Sus scrofa: one gene and its partners. The protein of the gene in region 1 purifies or fractionates together with the protein of each later gene. This does not show direct contact. Links are inferred from orthologs where the notes say so. Each region holds a gene or a part of one and is shown in the gene's direction. Other genes may lie near its edges. The genes, in order: DBN1, HOMER1, HOMER3, TMOD1 and TWF1.

Region 1 (2,826 bases):
ACACTAGCAAAGGGGCAGTGGGGGCCAGTGGGTGCTAGAAGGCACTCTGCATGGAAGTCTTACTGGAGGCCTTCTTTCCTGGAGGTGGCTGATTCCTCAGCCAGGGGGCAGGGAACTGTACTGGTGGCTGCCCAGGGCCCTCATCCTTTGCTGGGAGCTGATCATGTCTCCTTTCTGCTTCGTCAGAAACCCAGGAGCCCAGCCCTGGCCTGGATAGTGAAGAGACGAGCAAGGAAGCCAGAGAAGCAGCCCCTCAGGCCTGGGCTGGCCCTGTGGAGGAGCCCCCTCAGGCACCGGAGCCTCCCCAGGGCCGAGGCAGCCCCCCGGAGGACTTGATGTTCATGGCGTCTACAGAGCAGGCTGTCCTGGCTGCCCCTCTAGAGCCTGCCATGGCTGGAGCCTCTGCAGCTGACACCCTGGTAGCTGATGCCATTGAAGCCGACACTGCCGCTGCTGACACCGCTGTTGCCAACACTGTCACCCCTGCAGCTGCCAGCCTCATTGACCTATGGCCTGGCAATGGGGAGGAGGCCTCTGCACCCCAGGCTGAGCCTAGGGCCCCCACACCACCCTCGGGTGCTGAGGTCCCTCTGGCAGAGGTGCCCCTGCTGGACGAGGTGGCTCAGGAGCCACTGCCACCAGCAGGTGAAGGCAGTGCTAATCTTCTTAATTTTGATGAGCTTCCTGAGCCGCCCGCTACCTTCTGTGACCAAGAGGAGGAAGTAGAAGGGGTGTCGCTGGCTGTCCCTCAGGCTCCAACTCTGCCCTCAGCTCTAGAGGAGCTGGATCTAGAGCCGGATCGGGAGCCAGAGCCGGAGCCGGAGCTGGAGCCAGAGCCAGAGCCCCACCTGCTGACCAATGGCGAGACCACCCAGAAGGAGGGGACCCAGGTGGGGCTGGGGCTTCCTGGTGGGAGGGGCTTGAGCAGGGGGCTAACCCTGCCTTCCTCAGGCTTGCAGCAGTAACCCCGTCCCACTCTGACCCACACTGTAGGGAGTGGGGGGAACAGCTCTAGTTCATTCCCCCTGCCTGGGCCACTCTGTTTTATTCCCAAGGCAGGCATCTGTGTTTCCCTGGCAACCACTGATGGAATCACTGGTTGCTGGGTTGCTGGGGAAACGTGTTCAGGCTTGGTAGGTCAGCCCTAGTCCTGCTGGGTGGGGCCCAGTAACATGGGGCTTTTCTCCTGCAGGCCAGTGAGGGGTACTTCAGCCAATCACAGGAGGAGGAGTTTGCCCAATCGGAAGAGCTGTGTGCAAAGGCCCCGCCTCCTGTGTTCTACAACAAGCCTCCAGGTAGAACTGGGAATGGGTGGAGCAGGGGTACTGCGTTTGGACAGGCAGCGACCCCTCATACACAGCTGGCACAGCTTCCTGGGGTTAGGGGGTCATGGGCACGGATCTGCTGGGCTACCTCCTTAACTTGTTTCCCTTTCCCACACCATAGAAATCGACATCACTTGCTGGGATGCAGACCCAGTACCAGAAGAGGAGGAGGGCTTCGAGGGTGGCGACTAGCGGTGGTGCCCGTCCTCAGGCTGCCCTCGCCAAGGCCTCACACCTGCGCTGGCCTCTGGCCAGACGGCCCGCAGTGCCTGCACTTGCAGCAGCTCCGCCTGGCACCCTCTGGACTCCGGCCCTGGCCGGGGACTTGGCCGCTTCCCTACCCACAGGGCCCGACTTTTACAGCTTTTCTTTTTTTTAAAAGTTGATAGGAGACTTGTACAGTTGACCGGTTTTCCTCCCGTTGGTAGTTGAGACGCTGTTGCAAATTCCATCCCCTTCCTGCCCGGTCCAGATTGTAGATCTTAGTCCTCCCTGGTCACTCAGCTGGCCGGGGTGGAGGCCTCACCCTGCTTTGGGGCCTGTGTGGGGGGATGCTCTGGTGGGAAAATGTTCCCCCCACCTCTTTTCCTAGTTTTCTGTTTCTTGGAAAAATATCACTTTGTATTCTCTGTCCAGGGCTTCAGATATTTTGCACGAATTTTAAAACATGGCAATAAACGGCTCGTGGGCTCTGGTTCCCTGGGACCCCCCTTCCCCACCCTTCTCTTGACCTCCCCACCTGGCCTGAAGGAAGTAGCAGGCCCAGCTGGGGCCCCTCAGCTTCCTGGCCCTTTCCTGCCCCCTCCTGCTGGGCAGGTCCCAAGCTGGAGGCCCTAGGCGTGATTCAGGTCAGGGCTATGGGTGGTCCCTCTTCACCTCCTCCCTCTTTGCTTGGGTTCCTTTTTCACGTTCAGTAACTGTTTTTTGGAAAGCACAAACTTCTGTAACAGGTCGTGCTCATGTCTGTTAATAAAGAAATCCAGATCCCTTCGGGCCTGCTGCTCCGGGCCTCCAGGGGCTGATCCGGGGTGGGCTGCCTGCCCTAACCCCATTCCCAGCTTTTCCCACATCTAAAGCTGCAGGGGGTGCCTTTAAGCAAGACCTCATGGGCAAGGAAAGTGGGGTCTGAGGATTCCATGGGGACCAGCCTCTGGTTTGAAGCAGGTTGACCTCAAGTTTAGTTCTGTATCCCCAAGCCAGTTTGTAGCTGAGAGGTGCATTTAGGTTCGGTCCCACCAAGGCCCACAGTCTGGCCACCAGAACCTTGGGCGTAGGCAGTGGGTGCCCCTCCGCTTGTACCAAACCAGATCACACACCTTTATTATCCTCAAAATGTAACAAACGGGGTAAGAAATCCCTCCCCCCAACCCCCCACCCCCACGTCTGCAGTCCAAGGGAAGCATTTAAAAAGCCCCGCAATCAGGCCAGGAGTCCGCGGGTGGGGCCCGGGACGCCGGGCGCCCCTCTATACGGCTGTAGTCCTCCCGAACAAGGGGATGGA
Region 2 (4,179 bases), about 7.7 Mb from region 1:
TAAACACTACACATATAAAAAAAGATTTTCATTGATTGCATTATGTAGACCCTAATCCTTTTAAAAACATTTATTGATTCATTTTTTTCTTTCATTTGTAATTTTCTTGACTCTAGAATTATTAAACATTCACAACATACTTGTAGACCTGTCATGAGCAAATAAGCATACACACAAAAATACCCTTTTCAAAGTATAAATATATGAAAGGTACCTTTAGGGGAACTTCTTAATTTTGGTTCTGTACACTAATTTATTAATTTAATAATTTTGAGGTGAAGTCACAATGTAAATCTGACTGCGGTGACTTTTCTCCTTGGGGATTAGAGAGTCATGAAAGTTGATTTAGAATAATTACCAGACATGTTAGTCATGGCAGTTAAGAGACTGACAAAAGTATCATTATACATGGTTTGTAAACTCAGTTTAAAGTGATTAAATCTCTCAAAGGAAAAGGTGGTTAAATCTCAAAAGGTCTAATCTCCCTTTTACCATGTGTTTGGGTTTTTTTCCCCAGGCCTTTGGTGTCCAGTTGATATATTTATCTTTACTTACTTGATTTTTGTTGTTGTTGTTTTGTTGTTTAGGATTAATCCAACTCATGAGATGAAAGAGTAGGGAAAATGAGTTCCATGTATGAAATATTTCCTGATAGAATTTTTAAGTGACTGAATAGAAGATATTTTAAATAGCTTTATTTCTCAGTTAGTTAGAATCTGTTTAGTTGAGTGAAATGTACAGCTTCTTGTTTGTGTTGCATGTTTGTAGTGACCTGCGGGGCACAGAGTAAAGTGACCTGTATTTTGCAAGATTCATGAAAAAAAACGAGATTTTTCCTAGAGATCAAAAAAACTCTGTTGAAGTTTGGAAAGTTGAGTGCCTTTTGAAACAATATAAGGTTTCAGGCTCAGGAGGTGTTTTCATTTCAAAAGCATTGCTGTGTGATAAGCAGTATTTCTATACATTTTAGCCCATCTACAAAAACCGAGGTGAAATTTTCAAACCTTACCGAGCATTGCAAGAGTAGGTAAAACCCTTGAAAGGCTAATCACTCATGGTCTTCCACATGTGAATAAAATCGTTAGTGTCTTACTTTTAGGCACAAACAAATCTGAATTTTTCACAACATACCTCTCTGTATACTATAAAATTAAGACGTCCATCATCACTCTTTTTTTTTTTTTTTTTTTTTTTTTCTTTTTAGGGCTGGCTGCACCCACAGCATATGGAAATTCCCAACGAGGAGTCGAATCTGAAGCTGCAGCTGCCAGCGTACACCACAGCCACAGCAACCCAGGGTCCGAGCCACATCTTTGACCTACACCAGAGCTCACGGCAAAGCCGGATCCTTAAACCCACTGAGCAAGGCCAGGGATCAACAGCATCCTCATGGATTCTAGTCAGGTTTGTAATCCAGAACGGGAACTCCCAGTATCACTCTTAAAAGAGATTTATTGGTGAACTTGTGCTCTTAATTGTAGCTTGATTTTCCTTTTTTCATCTGTCAAAAGTCTAATAACACATTGGTCATTTCTATGCTCCCTAATAAAATACCTGATAAAAAAGATGAAATTGACAACTATCAATGCTGCTTGTTATAGGCAACATTTTTTTAGGGGAGAGGTTGAAATTAATCACGTCTTTGTTATCTTTTGGGGGGGCTTGTCATGACCCTCCACTTGTATTTTATTTATTTCTCATTTTGTTTTTAAAAATTTTCAAAAATCTCACTTCTTTGGTAAGTACAATTGAGTAGAACTTTTATGGGGCAAAATTAAATTACTTTTTAGTGACCTTACAAAGGAAAAAACCAAACTATTCTTTCTCATGAGGTTTTTTTCCCTATGATTAATTGTTAACCCATTATGACTCTTGCATAGCTAAAAGAATTCTAAATATGTAAAACTAACATTTGACTTAGTTAAGATCTGAGTTTCATTAATACGTAACTATTTTATCTAAGGTAGGCTACTAGATGAAAGCAAAAAGTCACTGTTTTCTTTTTTATATCAGAAAATAAAATTATTTATAAAATCCAAAAAATTAGCAGTCTAATCAATACTCTGTCTTCAAAGTACAGTTTACCTTTGCATTTTCTCTAGCTTTCGAAAATTCACTTTAAACCCTTAACACTTAATATTTGCTTCAAAAAATAGTTCTGCTTTATGAACATTTTCTTTTAATGTTCTCCCATAAAACATGAAGCATTTCTATGTTATCTTTGAAAAGAGTTGGCACCAGTTCCTTAAGGCAGAGCTGTTTTAAGAATTGAGGGCTTTTTGTAAAATTACCAAGTTAAGAGTTAGGAATTAAACACAAACAGAAAACCATGCTAAAGGATCACAGATACCAAAGCAGCTTTCATTCCTTTATAAGGTCACTTTAGGTTATGTTTATTTATTATGTCGTGTCTGTTGGCACAACTGGATCCAGGAGTTCACATGCCTGAGTCCAGAGGGCTGTAGCAGAGTGTCCTTGACCCCACCCCACCCATAGAAGGGCTCGCTCCTAATTGGTCCCTGTCAGCGGGCAGTGATAGGAGTGTAGGGAGAGCCCCAACCCCGGTCTGTGTCTCTCTGGATACCATACATTGATTCCTTAAACACTGAGTTCTTAGTGGAGCACACATATACAGTGTAAATTGAAAGGATCTGGGGAATTAGATCCCATTTTGAGTGTACAGAAAAATCCTGATTCCTAGCAATTTGGTATTAGCTGGATGCTCCAATTATTTTTCTGATCATTTTTCTCAATAAATTGTTGGATCCTTTCACCTTTATCTTTAAGCATGCCTCGATCCTCCTTAAGTAGTGTTGCCTGCCTTCTGTTTCCTTTCCGAAGTTTAAGGTTGTTCTGAATAAGGCTTTTTTTTGCGAGTTGGAATTTTCTGCCCTAGTTACTTTCAGTTTCCCCCATTAGGTTCTACATAATGGTCTCTAGGAAATTATCTTAAGTGGATTAGACTATCAAAGAGCTCAAAGTATTCATGTTGGAAAATTTCTGTCAGTGTTCCTTTGTGGAAGAGAAGTCTGTACATGACTGAATTTAGGTAGGACAATTATTTTGAACCAACTGTAATACTTGAGTGGGCTTAACCTATCCTTTTGCCTTTTTGTGCTTACTTTTTGCTTACTCTTTTGTAAAACTGTCGTTTTCTGCCCTACTCTGTAGTTATGAATCTCTATCATCTGGATTTTAGCGTTAAAATTCATGTGCTTTGCTTAATCACCCTGCCAGCTCCCAAGATGTTTACAGAATGAGGATTCCACCTACTCTTGTTTACTCAGTGTTACCAGGGATCTGTATACATTCGGCTGAATGGGAAGACTCCCAACTCACCCGGAAACTCATCTTTCAGGTTCTTTTGTGCTAAAATAAATAAATAAATAAATAGTTTTAGGTCTTGCAGGCTGCCTTTTTGCCTAGTCAACTGATAATATATAGAATTTTAGTTCCCTGTTTTCAGTGTTGCTTTCATTTAGTGTTTTATTGATGCTAAGTTGATATTTATTGCTATCCCTAAGTTAATGTAGGTGAAATAAGACATTAATGGCAATATTGCTGTTTAGTTTTACTTAGTAGCGTATTAGTATATTCAGAGTAGTTAGTATATGCTCTCTGGGTAAACTATAGGCTGTTCATCTGGTAGGAAGCTAGCCTGAAAAATGTTTTCAAAGATGGTGCAGTGGTCAGTTAGAAATGATTATGCAAAATTTTGTATTCTCACCTATATAAAGTGCATTCTATGTATGTGTACAAAGATTTGAAAGACATTCCTTAAAGTGTTACCTTGTTTATTTCTGGGAGGTATGATTGTGAAATTTTGTTTTTTGAGTATTTCTAAATCTGTAAGTTTCTCTGTGATTCATGTATTCACTTCTTTCTTGGGTTTTAAGGGTGAGGATATTAAAAGTGCTAATATCTACGATACAAAGTTATCAGGATCAGTCACTGTTCCTACGTATGGATAGATGCTTTTATGTTTGTATCAGTTTTAGCTTCTTTATCTAATACTTTTTTTTCTGTTTCAAAATTGGCTAAGGAAGTAATTACTCCAATGATAGCAAAAATGGTTTCTTCTATAAAGAGTAGTCTGGCTGTCAGTTACCAGAATGTTGGTAATGCACTTTTTATGGGTAAGGAGCCAGAGCCAATGAGGAAATGTTACTTAGAGGAGGT
Region 3 (3,030 bases), about 22 Mb from region 1:
GGTATCTTGACCCCGCCCATAACTACGCCCCCTAGCACAGCACCGCCCTCACCCGGTCCTCCGCCCAGTGAGGCCCCGCCCTGCCCTCTGCTGACTCCAGTGTTCCCGCAGCTCGGTGGGCGAGGTGCAGTGGGAGGCCGAGTTCTTCGCGCTGCAGGACAGTAACAACAAGTTGGCGGGCGCCCTTCGAGAGGCCAACGCCGCCGCCGCCCAGTGGAGGCAGCAGCTGGAGGCCCAGCGCGCAGAGGCCGACAGGCTGCGGCAGCGGGTGAGGGAGCCCCTCCCTCCCAGAGACCCCAAGTGGTCCAGGCCACTGTGAAGTCCCTGCGCCCTGTCTGTCTCGGGTCCGCTGGCTGGCTGTGTGATCTCCGCAGGTCTCTTCCCTGACCTGAGCCTTAGTTTTGTGCTCTGTAGTATGGGTCTGAAATAATGTGAGCCTCAGAGGGTTGTCCTACCTTTAGGACCCTAAAGTCTCATCTGCCAGAGTCAGGGTGGTGGCCCCAAATAGAAGGGGTGAGTGCCCAGTCATGGGCTTGACTGATCAGGAGGCATATTCCCCACGGGTCAGCAGAGTACAGACTGGGGGTCAGGGAACTGACCCTCCTATCTTTGCAGGTGGCTGAACTGGAGGCCCAGGCTGCCACTGAGCCACCCACAGTCACTGAGAAGGAGGGGCCGGGCCAGTCTCTGGAGCAACTGGAGGCACTAGTGCAAACCAAGGACCAGGTGTGTGAACTGTCTGTGTGCATGTGTGTTTCCTTGGACTTTGCCTTCCCTGATCTCCTATGGGGGAGCCAGGACCCTCAGAACAGATCCTGGGAACTTCTCCACCAGGAGATCCAGACGCTGAAGAGCCAGACTGGTGGGACCCGAGAGGCACCAGACACCACCGAACGTGAGGAGACACAGCAGAAGGTGCAGGTGTGTGTGGTTGCTGTGAGGGTGGGATGACTGCCTAGGGCCCCCAGCCCCTGGTATGGGACAGACATGGGATCTCCCTTTCCTGGTGGGTTCTGGGCAGCTATGTGCTTCCCTGAGCCTCAGTTTCTTCATCTATGAATGCAGTCAGGAAGACATCTAAGGTTGTGAAGGATTCAGGTGACCAGGTACATGGAGGGATTGAGTCACAGTGGGTGGTTTATAAGCAAGTTATTAGTATAATATTTCATCTCATTCCTTTCATGCAACCAGCAGTTTTGAGTTTGTTTTGTTTTTTTTGTTTGTTTTTTGCTTTTTAGGGTCACAGCTGCAGCATATGGAAGTTCCCACGCTAAGGGACAAACCAGAGCCACTGCTGCCAGCCTACCCTACAGCCACAGCAGTGCTAGATCCGAGTCACATCTATGGCCTACGCAGCAGCTTGCAGCAACGCTGGATCCTTAACCCACTAAGCAAGGCCAGGAATCAGACCCACCTCCTCATGGATACTAGTTGGGTTCCTAACCCACTGAGCCGAAGCAGGAACTCCCAACAAGCAGTTTTTGAATCTCTGTTGAATCTCCATTCTTGACCCCATCAAATCCTCACACATCCCCAGCCTGAGGTTGGGAGCCTTCATTTGTACCCATGTGCGGCTGGCCTGGCTTTCACTGAAGACTTTATCTGAGAAATGTTCCTGGGGGCATGTCCTGTGAGTCCAGCAGGTAGAGAACTTAGAGGATCTCTTCTGCCCCCAAAGAGAGAGAAATTGGGAGAGGGATGCTCCCTGTTTTCTTCTGGGCAGAGTGTTCAGCATGTGCAAAGGCCCTGGGGTGGGGTGGGGGAGTCATTATGTTCAAGAAACCACAAGGAAGCCAGCAAGGCTGAGTTGGAATGAACAAAGAGAGGAAAGAGGGCTATGTATTTCATTCCCAGCGTGATAGGTGACAGGAGAGTTTTGAATAGAAGAGGAAAGTGGTCAGTTCAATGATGTTCAAGTTGGCAGGGGGACCAGGGAAGCCAGGTGACATAGAAGGTTTGGCCCAGAGTGGAGGCTGTGGGGATACCATTGAGATGCTGGACCCTTCAAACTTGCTGGGGCCCCCAACCCTGCTTGCCCTCTCCCTGCAGGACCTGGAGACCCGAAACGCGGAACTGGAGCACCAGCTGCGGGCAACTGAGCGCAGCCTGGAGGAGGCTCGGGTAGAGCGGGAGCGGGCACGGGCCGAGGTGGGCCGGGCCGCGCAGCTGCTGGACGTCAGGCTCTTTGAGCTGAGTGAGCTGCGGGAGGGCCTGGCCCGCCTGGCCGAGGGCGCGCCCTGAGTCTGCCTCCGGGTCTACGTGGGGGCAGGGGTGCCCACGGGAGCTGGTTTTACATGAACGATTCCCGCCTGGGGCACGGGCCAGGCCGCAGGCGGCACAGTGGGCCATTCACCTTGACAGGGACTGGGGCCCAGCTCAGCCTGGGGAAGGCCTGTCCACCGTACTCTAGTCAGCCCCGGCTGTTCACAGCTCGGAGGCTGTTTTTGAGCTTTTCATTGTGTAGAATTTCTAGACTCCCTGGGGTGCATACCAGTGCCCACATTACATTTCTAAGCGTGGCTGTGTGTGTGTGGTGTGTGAGCCATGGGTACCTGACCGCCGTCACTGGGCCCTCTGTCCGCCCTCAGTCTGTATAGGGCTTGGTAAGCCATTTGGAGGGCTCTGCCCATGTTTTCTGGACCAGTTTGGACTAAGGCAGACCCTGCTTAAGCCTGCCCCCCTTCGCTCTGGCCATAAACCCCCAATGCCACCAGGTGGGCGGGTGGGGAAGCTCCTAGAACATGGCTGTGTTCGCTAGCATGTGATCTCGCCTAAACCTCACATCTGCATCTGCAGAGTAGGGCACTTGCTGTTCCCATTTTCCAGATGAGGCCCATATAAGGGGCTTCACCAACCCAAGGTCACCTAGCTGGAATGGTCAGCCCTGCAGTTCAAAGCTTTGGGGCTGGTCCAGCAGAATGAAGAACTTGAGGGGAGGGGTGGGGGCGACATGATGTTCTGAGGGGCTGGAGAACCACAGGCGGCCACACCCTCCTCCCTCTGCCCCCTCTCCCTGAGAGTCCTACCAGG
Region 4 (3,517 bases), on another chromosome or scaffold:
AAATCAGTGGCCTCTATCAGATCTATTCAAAAGATGTGAGTTTGCAAACCCTTTCCCGGTCAGTTACAACCTAGTATGTTTCCCCAGTCACAATACTCAGCCTTTCAGAGGCCGGAGTGTGCCCCAGCCCCTCACTGCCATCCAAATCCTTTATGGTGACAAAAATCGGTCAGGTCTTCCCTTCTGAGGATCATTGGGAAAACACTTGCTCTCCATGCTTAATTCATTTTATATTCATATGAGTTCATTGTTTAAATTTTAAGATACACTTGAATAACATACCCCCTGGCCAACATATGTATTTGTATTTTATCTGATTATAGAACAGCAACAATAGTCAGTAATAATTTGTGTGCTCACCGTGTCAGGCACTGTGCTAAGCACTCTTGTGCATTATCTGATTTTCTCAACATTTCTGAGGGAGCGACTCTCCTTATTCACATTTTAGAGCCGTAGAAACAGAGAAACCGTGAGATGCAGTGACTTGCCCAAGTTCATGTCACTGGAGACATCATTCCTTTAAGACAGAGCTTAAGCCCAGTGTGGGGTCAACTGTGAGGTGCTGGCATGTCACAGAATTTGATTCCTCCTCATGGGTAAACACAGATGGACATTTACGGGGCAGTTAGGCTGTTCCCTCTCTCAGCTGAGCGACAGTAAATGTACTTACACTGAGAACACACACACAATAGCCGCAGGAAATCCTCTCTCACCTGGAACAAGCCCATGGAAGCGTGGATCATCTGTGGACCATCAGCCATCCTTCATAGCATGTTGGACAGTGTCTGAATACTGCTGCTTAGGGAAAACCAGGGTGTCTGGGGCACCACATATATTCTCAACTCCTGTCCCTAAATCAGTCAAGGCTTTTTCTAGCTGCTGGCCATCGTCTCATAATATGCTCCAGCTCCCAAATGGCTCTTCTGACCTGTGACCTAAACCCATGTGCATGCACACCAGGCCCGCCCTCCAAGCTCCTGCATGTACCACTCACTGTGCCGGGCCCTTGCTCATCTCACCTCCGCCAGAGTTGGGCTCACGTTCTGGTCTCCGGATCTGACACCCATTGCTCTTACAGGAACAGCACTGTGGTGTTGAATAGTGGTAAACTGTCTTATTAAAAAAAGCATACTGCAGGAGTTCCCGTCGTGGCGCAGTGGTTAACAAATCCGACTAAGAACCATGAGGTTGTGGGTTCGATCCCTGGCCTTGCTCAGTGGGTTAGGGATCTGGCATTGCCGTGAGCTGTGGTGTAGGTCACAGACACGGCTCAGATCCCACATTGCTGTGGCTTTAGTGTAGGCCGGTGGCTACAGCTCCGATTAGACCCCTAACCTGGGAACCTCCATATGCCGCAGGAGCAGCCCAAGAAATGGCAAAAAGACAAAAATAAATAAATGAATAAATAAATAAATAAGACATACTGCAGTTAAATGGTAGAATTCCTCGCCCCCAGTTTATCCGTCTATGTGCCAGGCACAGAGCTCTCTTCGTACACCTGACTGCATTTCCCTCTCAGAGGGGGCTTTTAGGAAGGGCTTTGGCATATGAGTGACTGACAGAAGATGCACATTTTGCTGGTACCAGGATGGGGGATGGAGATGGAATGGCGGTCCAGTGTAGCCTGCTTGGGGGTGCAGCAAGAAGTGAGGTAAGGGAGTTACCATTGTAACTCAGCAGGTTACAAACCCCACTAGCATCCTTGAAGACATGGGTTCCATCCCTGGCCTCGCTCAGTGGATTAAGGATCGGGCATTGCCACAAGCTGCCGACCCCCACATAGCCTGGGGACCTAACTTCCACACGCAGCAGATGTGGCCCTAAAATGACAATTAAAAAAAAAAAAGATTCTGCTCTCATCAGCCTCCCCATATCCTCCCGACCTCCTGGAATGAAGAGGTGGGGAGGGCACGATGATCTGATTGAAGATTGCCCTCTCCCCCCTAATCTGAAGAAGAACCCTAGTTTTGTCCTAGATTTGGGTGAGTCTTTATTTGCTCTGGGCCTCAGTCTCCTCCCTAAGGGAGCGTGTGTGCACAGGATGATCTCTGAGCATCCTTGCACCCCTAAACTTCTTTGACTCTCCATAATACTAAGTGAAGTGAAGCGCATGTGACTCAAATCCACCCCGATTAGGAATTGCCGCTGGTAGCCAGCCCACACCTAGAAGCCTGCCCTTGTTTGAAGATGAAAACACAGGGATTGGTTGATGCTATCTTTCCTGAGAGGCGCATCTCCAGGGGCAACATTCAAAATATTTAACAGCCCGCCTGCATGCGTGAGCACCACAGTCAGGAGGGTAGAAAGCAGCTGGTAGAGCCATCCAGGGCTGCAGCCTGAAAGCGCTTTATACACAGCAGCTGGAAATACCCTCCTGCGTCCAAACACCAACTTAATCATATTCTTCCCTCAGCGGGTGCTCTCGGAGCACCCTGCCAGGCTCAGCCCCAACAACCCCCATCCCCTCACCTTTAAAAAACATTAGGAGTTCCCGTCGTGGTGCAGTGGTTAACGAATCCAACTAGGAACCATGAGGTTGCGGGTTTGATCCCTGGCCTAGCTCAGTGGGTTAAGGATCCGGCGTTGCCGTGAGCTGTGGTGTAGGTGGCAGATGTGGCTCAGATCCCACTTTGCTGTGACTGTGGCGTAGGCCGGTGGCTACAGCTCCGATTCGACCCCTAGCCTGGGAACCTCCATATGCCGTGGGAGCAGCCCTAGAAAAGGCAAAAAGACAAAAAGACAAAAAAAAAAATTAGAAGCTGGGAGGCAGGGTTGGTTAAGACACCTGAATCCTAGCCTCTCTCTGGCCCTGTCTGCCAGCGACCTGGGGCAAGTCCCTGCACCTCCTGGGCTCTTAGTTTCCTCACGTGTGAAAGAGTGACTTGGATTGATTAGCTGAGCTCAGAGCTCCCCATCGTTCACTGATGAGTTTCTGGAGAAGTGCGAGTCTTCCGCAGCTGATTGCTCTCTCTTTCTCTCTCTCTCTCTGTGTCACCTGTCCCACCACCGCCACTATAGAATGCACTGCTGCCTGCAGGCCTGAGGCAGAAGGATCAGACCACCAAGGCGCCCACGGGCCCCTTTAAAAGGGAGGAGCTCTTGGATCACTTGGAAAAGCAAGCAAAGGAGTTTAAGGACCGAGAAGATCTGGTCCCCTACACAGGGGAGAAGCGAGGTACTGAACATTGCTGCGCTGTTGAATGCGTCCTTCCCCAGGCGGCACGGAGAGCCAGCTGTATGGGCCAGATGTGACCGGGCCTCCTTGCCCTCATCTCTTCCTAGCCCAGAGTCATAAACCCAACTCCAGAGGCATCGATGCAGGAGGTGGATTTAATGCAGTCCCCTCCCCCCACAAGTGGTATCAGAACCTGAGGTCCCAGCCAGGCCCGTCCCTTCCAAATCAGGAGCAAGAGGGGCCCTGTCTCTGCCCTAAGACTTCTGCTCCTTCCCTCAAGTTGCGGCTGCAATTTCCCTTCATCTGTCCCTCTCTGCATCTCTGCCCCAGCCGAAGACAAGC
Region 5 (4,052 bases), on another chromosome or scaffold:
CAGGTGCTCAACACTGCTATCAAAACTGGTAAATCAGGGTGAACTGTTGAGTCAGGAAGAATTTGGTTAGACCAAAACTCCTCCGTACATTTCTTAAATCCAAATAAGTTATAAAATTCAATTGTGCTTACTCCAGAATGAGGCTGCATTTAAGAAACAAAGCTTAAATAATAAGGAACAGAGCACAGCAAACTTGTTTGCCATGACAATCGTAAAGAAAAAGTTACCCACCTGCTAGTTAATTAAACACACGCTGCATTTAAAGTGATTTCGTTCACTTGCATTCATATATCAGCCTGTACAAAGTATTTATTGATAATGAGACTGTACTTTCATATACTTGTCAGGTCAAAGTCCTAAAAAAAAAGATTGAGTTTTCTACCTAGGAAACGATAATCTAGGAGTACTAGAAAAGTAGTAGAAAAGTAACTTCTAAAATTACACTTAGAAAGGGAAATCCACGTTCAGAAAAACAGAAAATAAAAAATAATTTTTCATAATATCACCTGTGGGAACTTAGAAATTACCCTAATGAATCTTGAATAATTACCTGATTAAAGAAGTAAATGGCCAATCTAAAGCAGAACAGTGCTCCAGTTTAGAACGATAGAATTGACCACAGAAAAGTCAAGTCACTTAATGTTCTCACTCTCAGTGACTCTTTTTAGAATGAAGAGAAAGGAAAACCTGGTCTTTAAACGTGCCCAACTAAAAAAAGCAGTTAACTGAGATTAGCTTAATTTAAAAGCGTAGGGGACTTTGTTGGGACACTGCCTGTTATCATTTTAAAAAATGGGTCAGGGAGTGACTTTTCAAGTTAAATTGTATAGACCGCAGAAGGAGTAAACAAAGAAGGATATGTGCACATCCTTTTAAAGCTGGAAATGCGTTCAGTAAAATATTCATTTCCTTTTTTGAGCACCCTTTGAACCAGTGAGTGGCGGCGCTGGCCGGGTCGCTAGAGGGCAGGGTCGCTAGAAGGCAGACCCCAGAGGCCAAAGCCATCATATTTTGTGTCACCGTGCTGAAGCAGGAAAAGCAGCGACAAATACGGAGGAGAGTGATCCCCCGGCAGAGAGCAGGAATCGAGGCCCGGGGGCGTGGACCCACAGTCCGGCTGCGCGGAGTGGGCGAGGGTGGCAGTAAGCAGGCAGTAGCGGCGGCGGCGGGGGCGCGCGAGGACGCCGCGGGGCTCGCAGGGCTCGCAGGGAGGGGCGGGGCGATGGCGGGTCGCAGACCGATGACGAGGCGGGGCCGGCGAAGGAGCCGCCACTTCCTGGAGCCACCGGCCGGGGCCGCTCGCTGCAACTCAGCGCCGGAGCCGGGAGCCCGCGGCCGCCGCCATGTCCCACCAGACGGGCATCCAAGGTAACTGCGCCGGCATTGCCCGCGGGAAGGGGCTCCCGGGAGGCCCCGGGCGACCCGGGCAGGCAACAGGACGGGCAGAGCTAGAGTCGGGCGGGGAGCACAGGGAGTCCGTCTCGGGGGCGATCCGGGCCTCCGCGCTCTCGGACCGGGCGCTCCCGGCCTGCCGCCCTCCCAGCCCGGGCCCGGCCGCCGCCACGTTGCCTGCGGACCCGAAATTCTCCCGAGCGGAGGAGTTGGGTTTTGGAGGCGGCCGGGGTGAAGGGGGCGTGCCGTCCGCCGCCGCCGGCGTTAGCCCAGCTTTCCTCCTTCTTATCCCGCTGGGAAGATTTGGAACAGTGGAGGCGATTGCAACTCCTTTTGCTGGCTGGAGGCGGGCGAATTTTCTTTTTCCCGGTCCAAAGGAGTTGTTACAGGATTTCGAGTATGAGAAGGATGCAGGAATCTTATATATTTCCAAACTCTTCCGCATTTTCTTCCAAAATGAGAACATCAGCACCGTTGTATGTATCCTGAGTGTGAGGCATGTTGATCCTTCTTAGGTACTCCCCAGGGAACTGAAAAGTCTAATCCGTCTGGCTGCCTTTAATTATCCCGTGCAGGCAATTGAATGTGCTGTTACATTTGCCCAGTATTATTTACTGATTTGAAAACGGGCAGTTGAAAGCCTCACCTCATCAGAATCAAAGCATATGTCCCAGGGTTATTCAGGATCACTGAACGAGTTCTAATATAAACATAAGCTCTTCTGTTAATAAGACAACGAATCCTTTCCTCAGATGTCGTCTAATTGTATTTTGTTTTTAAGGGTCTTTGACACCGCCCCACACCTCCCCTTTCAAACACAAACCCAAGCAAAATATTTAGTCTCAAATCTAAAAGCATTGTTTCATTTGTCTGCGTTAGTTTCCATATATAAATATGTAGTTACTGACTTGCATGCTTGAGCCTTGTAACAAGCACTATTAAATAGTGGTTTTTGCTGTCAATACACAACCCAAGAAAAAATTAGAACAAAATTGAAGCTTTAATAGGAACACAAGGGCTAGGTTATTAAATATGTATTTGCTCAATGAGATTATTCCAGCTTTTTGAGAAGTACAGCCTAGAAAAGTAGAATCATAAGCATAAGCTTGAATGAATTTTATTGGCTTTTTCTTTTTTGTTCCCCGACGTTTTTGTTTTTAATGTGAAAATGTAGAAAATAACTTGATGAAGGGGAGGTGTATTTATCATATGCTTGAAATTGGACCAGAAGAGAATGAAAGCATGTTTTCAGCATTTTTCAAACAAGCAATAAAGGTGTTTTTTTCAGAATTGTGATTTGTTCCTTATTGGGTTTGAGAAACTTTAATACATTCACTCTCAGTATTATTTTTTGTGATGGAATTATCTAGCCAAAGAAGATTAAAATTAATATACCTTTAAAACATAAATTAAATATACTAGTTGTATCTACTATATCTAACATGGTAGATATCTACAATATCTACTGTGTTACACCTTTTAAGTTGTATAATTTAAATTACTGATAAGGTAACACTGCATATTCAAGATTTTTCTTTGTATTTCATTTTTTCCTTATTCTAGCATTACAAACTATTAATACATAAATATAAAAAATAGGTTTACTTGTCTTTATCTTTTTCCCCAGCAAGTGAAGATGTTAAAGATATCTTTGCCAGAGCAAGAAATGGAAAATACAGGCTTCTGAAAATATCTATTGAAAATGGTTAGTTAAACATTTTTAAATATTGTTTGTCCTTGGAATATTGGGTGTTATCTTTTCAAACTTCTAAAACATTGTCAGTGATTAGGACTGTTAATAAATGTGAAACAAGTTCAGAACTTGCCTTTAGTTAAACTTGAATCCTCTACATTTTGGCATGTCCCTCAGGCCCATGCTTACCTTCTGAATTCTGTGGTTGATGATCAGGGAAACAAAAAGATGTTTTTTGGTGTGACATCTTCCTGTTTTACTTTTTGTGTCTCAGTTTCTGTACCATAATCTCTGTCTCATGTCAGTGCTTGCATCTGTGGAATGGAAATCAGTAACAGGTGATTATCCCTCCAAAATAGTTTCTTGTGAATTGTTATTAATGTAAATTAACATTATGGAGTAGAAAGATATCAAACTCTCCCATTTTCTTGACTTGATTGCAGTGTATGCTGCTGAAATAATTCTACCCTTTCTTATTTGGGAAAAGTTGCGAGAATGTAACGAACTATAATTTGATCCTTTTGAAATAAAGCTGTAAGCAGGGGAATTTGTTGGGTGGAGAATCTTTTAATTCAGCTAGATTTGAGTGTGAACAATTAATATTATAACTACTTAATCACAAATGAATATGTTAAAATAGTCCATTGACCTAATTTCTTAAATACCTTGAAATATTTTGCTTTGGAAAAATATCTTGCCTTTTCATAAACTAGAACTAATTCTAATTTACCTTCCATTTTTTCTTATATATTAAAAATACCAAAGTAGTTTGACAAAGATGCAATTGTTCTGCATATATTAACGCACTTAAAGAGAATAAACATATACTATAAAGCAGCATATCTTAGAACTATTGAACTAAAGTATTAAATGTAGTTACTTCCTAACTGACTAGTTAAGTAAAATGGAAAAGTTTATCTAACTAATATCTCTACAGAAGGAAAATGACAATATTTCCTATATCACT

Evidence for each region.
Region 2: the proteins of DBN1 (region 1) and HOMER1 purify together in Homo sapiens (co-immunoprecipitation; 3 studies listed by BioGRID and IntAct, counting the BioPlex papers as one, with this or other methods). This does not show direct contact. The link is inferred for Sus scrofa from reciprocal best matches to the Homo sapiens genes DBN1 and HOMER1.
Region 3: the proteins of DBN1 (region 1) and HOMER3 purify together in Homo sapiens (co-immunoprecipitation; 3 studies listed by BioGRID and IntAct, counting the BioPlex papers as one, with this or other methods). This does not show direct contact. The link is inferred for Sus scrofa from reciprocal best matches to the Homo sapiens genes DBN1 and HOMER3.
Region 4: the proteins of DBN1 (region 1) and TMOD1 purify together in Homo sapiens (co-immunoprecipitation; 3 studies listed by BioGRID and IntAct, with this or other methods). This does not show direct contact. The link is inferred for Sus scrofa from reciprocal best matches to the Homo sapiens genes DBN1 and TMOD1.
Region 5: the proteins of DBN1 (region 1) and TWF1 purify together in Homo sapiens (affinity purification with mass spectrometry; 3 studies listed by BioGRID and IntAct, with this or other methods). This does not show direct contact. The link is inferred for Sus scrofa from reciprocal best matches to the Homo sapiens genes DBN1 and TWF1.

The regions. Positions count from the first base shown.
Region 1 is NC_010444.4:80,493,484-80,496,309, forward strand, and holds the end of DBN1 (drebrin), read left to right. Parts: intron 1-186; coding exon 187-890; intron 891-1,192; coding exon 1,193-1,295; intron 1,296-1,446; coding exon 1,447-1,517; 3' UTR 1,518-2,314; downstream 2,315-2,826. Other genes in the region: PRR7 (proline-rich protein 7), read right to left, coding at 2,791-2,826. UniProt on the Homo sapiens protein: Actin cytoskeleton-organizing protein that plays a role in the formation of cell projections. Required for actin polymerization at immunological synapses (IS) and for the recruitment of the chemokine receptor CXCR4 to IS.
Region 2 is NC_010444.4:88,243,206-88,247,384, reverse strand, and holds the start of HOMER1 (homer protein homolog 1), read left to right. Parts: upstream 1-1,379; 5' UTR 1,380-3,035; coding exon 3,036-3,049; intron 3,050-4,179. UniProt on the Homo sapiens protein: Postsynaptic density scaffolding protein. Binds and cross-links cytoplasmic regions of GRM1, GRM5, ITPR1, DNM3, RYR1, RYR2, SHANK1 and SHANK3.
Region 3 is NC_010444.4:58,919,956-58,922,985, forward strand, and holds the end of HOMER3 (homer protein homolog 3), read left to right. Parts: intron 1-111; coding exon 112-268; intron 269-615; coding exon 616-726; intron 727-834; coding exon 835-921; intron 922-2,049; coding exon 2,050-2,241; 3' UTR 2,242-2,519; downstream 2,520-3,030. UniProt on the Homo sapiens protein: Postsynaptic density scaffolding protein. Binds and cross-links cytoplasmic regions of GRM1, GRM5, ITPR1, DNM3, RYR1, RYR2, SHANK1 and SHANK3.
Region 4 is NC_010443.5:239,413,144-239,416,660, forward strand, and holds part of TMOD1 (tropomodulin-1), read left to right. Parts: intron 1-3,018; coding exon 3,019-3,175; intron 3,176-3,517. UniProt on the Homo sapiens protein: Blocks the elongation and depolymerization of the actin filaments at the pointed end. The Tmod/TM complex contributes to the formation of the short actin protofilament, which in turn defines the geometry of the membrane skeleton.
Region 5 is NC_010447.5:74,878,406-74,882,457, reverse strand, and holds the start of TWF1 (twinfilin-1), read left to right. Parts: upstream 1-1,237; 5' UTR 1,238-1,343; coding exon 1,344-1,368; intron 1,369-3,019; coding exon 3,020-3,097; intron 3,098-4,052. UniProt on the Homo sapiens protein: Actin-binding protein involved in motile and morphological processes. Inhibits actin polymerization, likely by sequestering G-actin. By capping the barbed ends of filaments, it also regulates motility.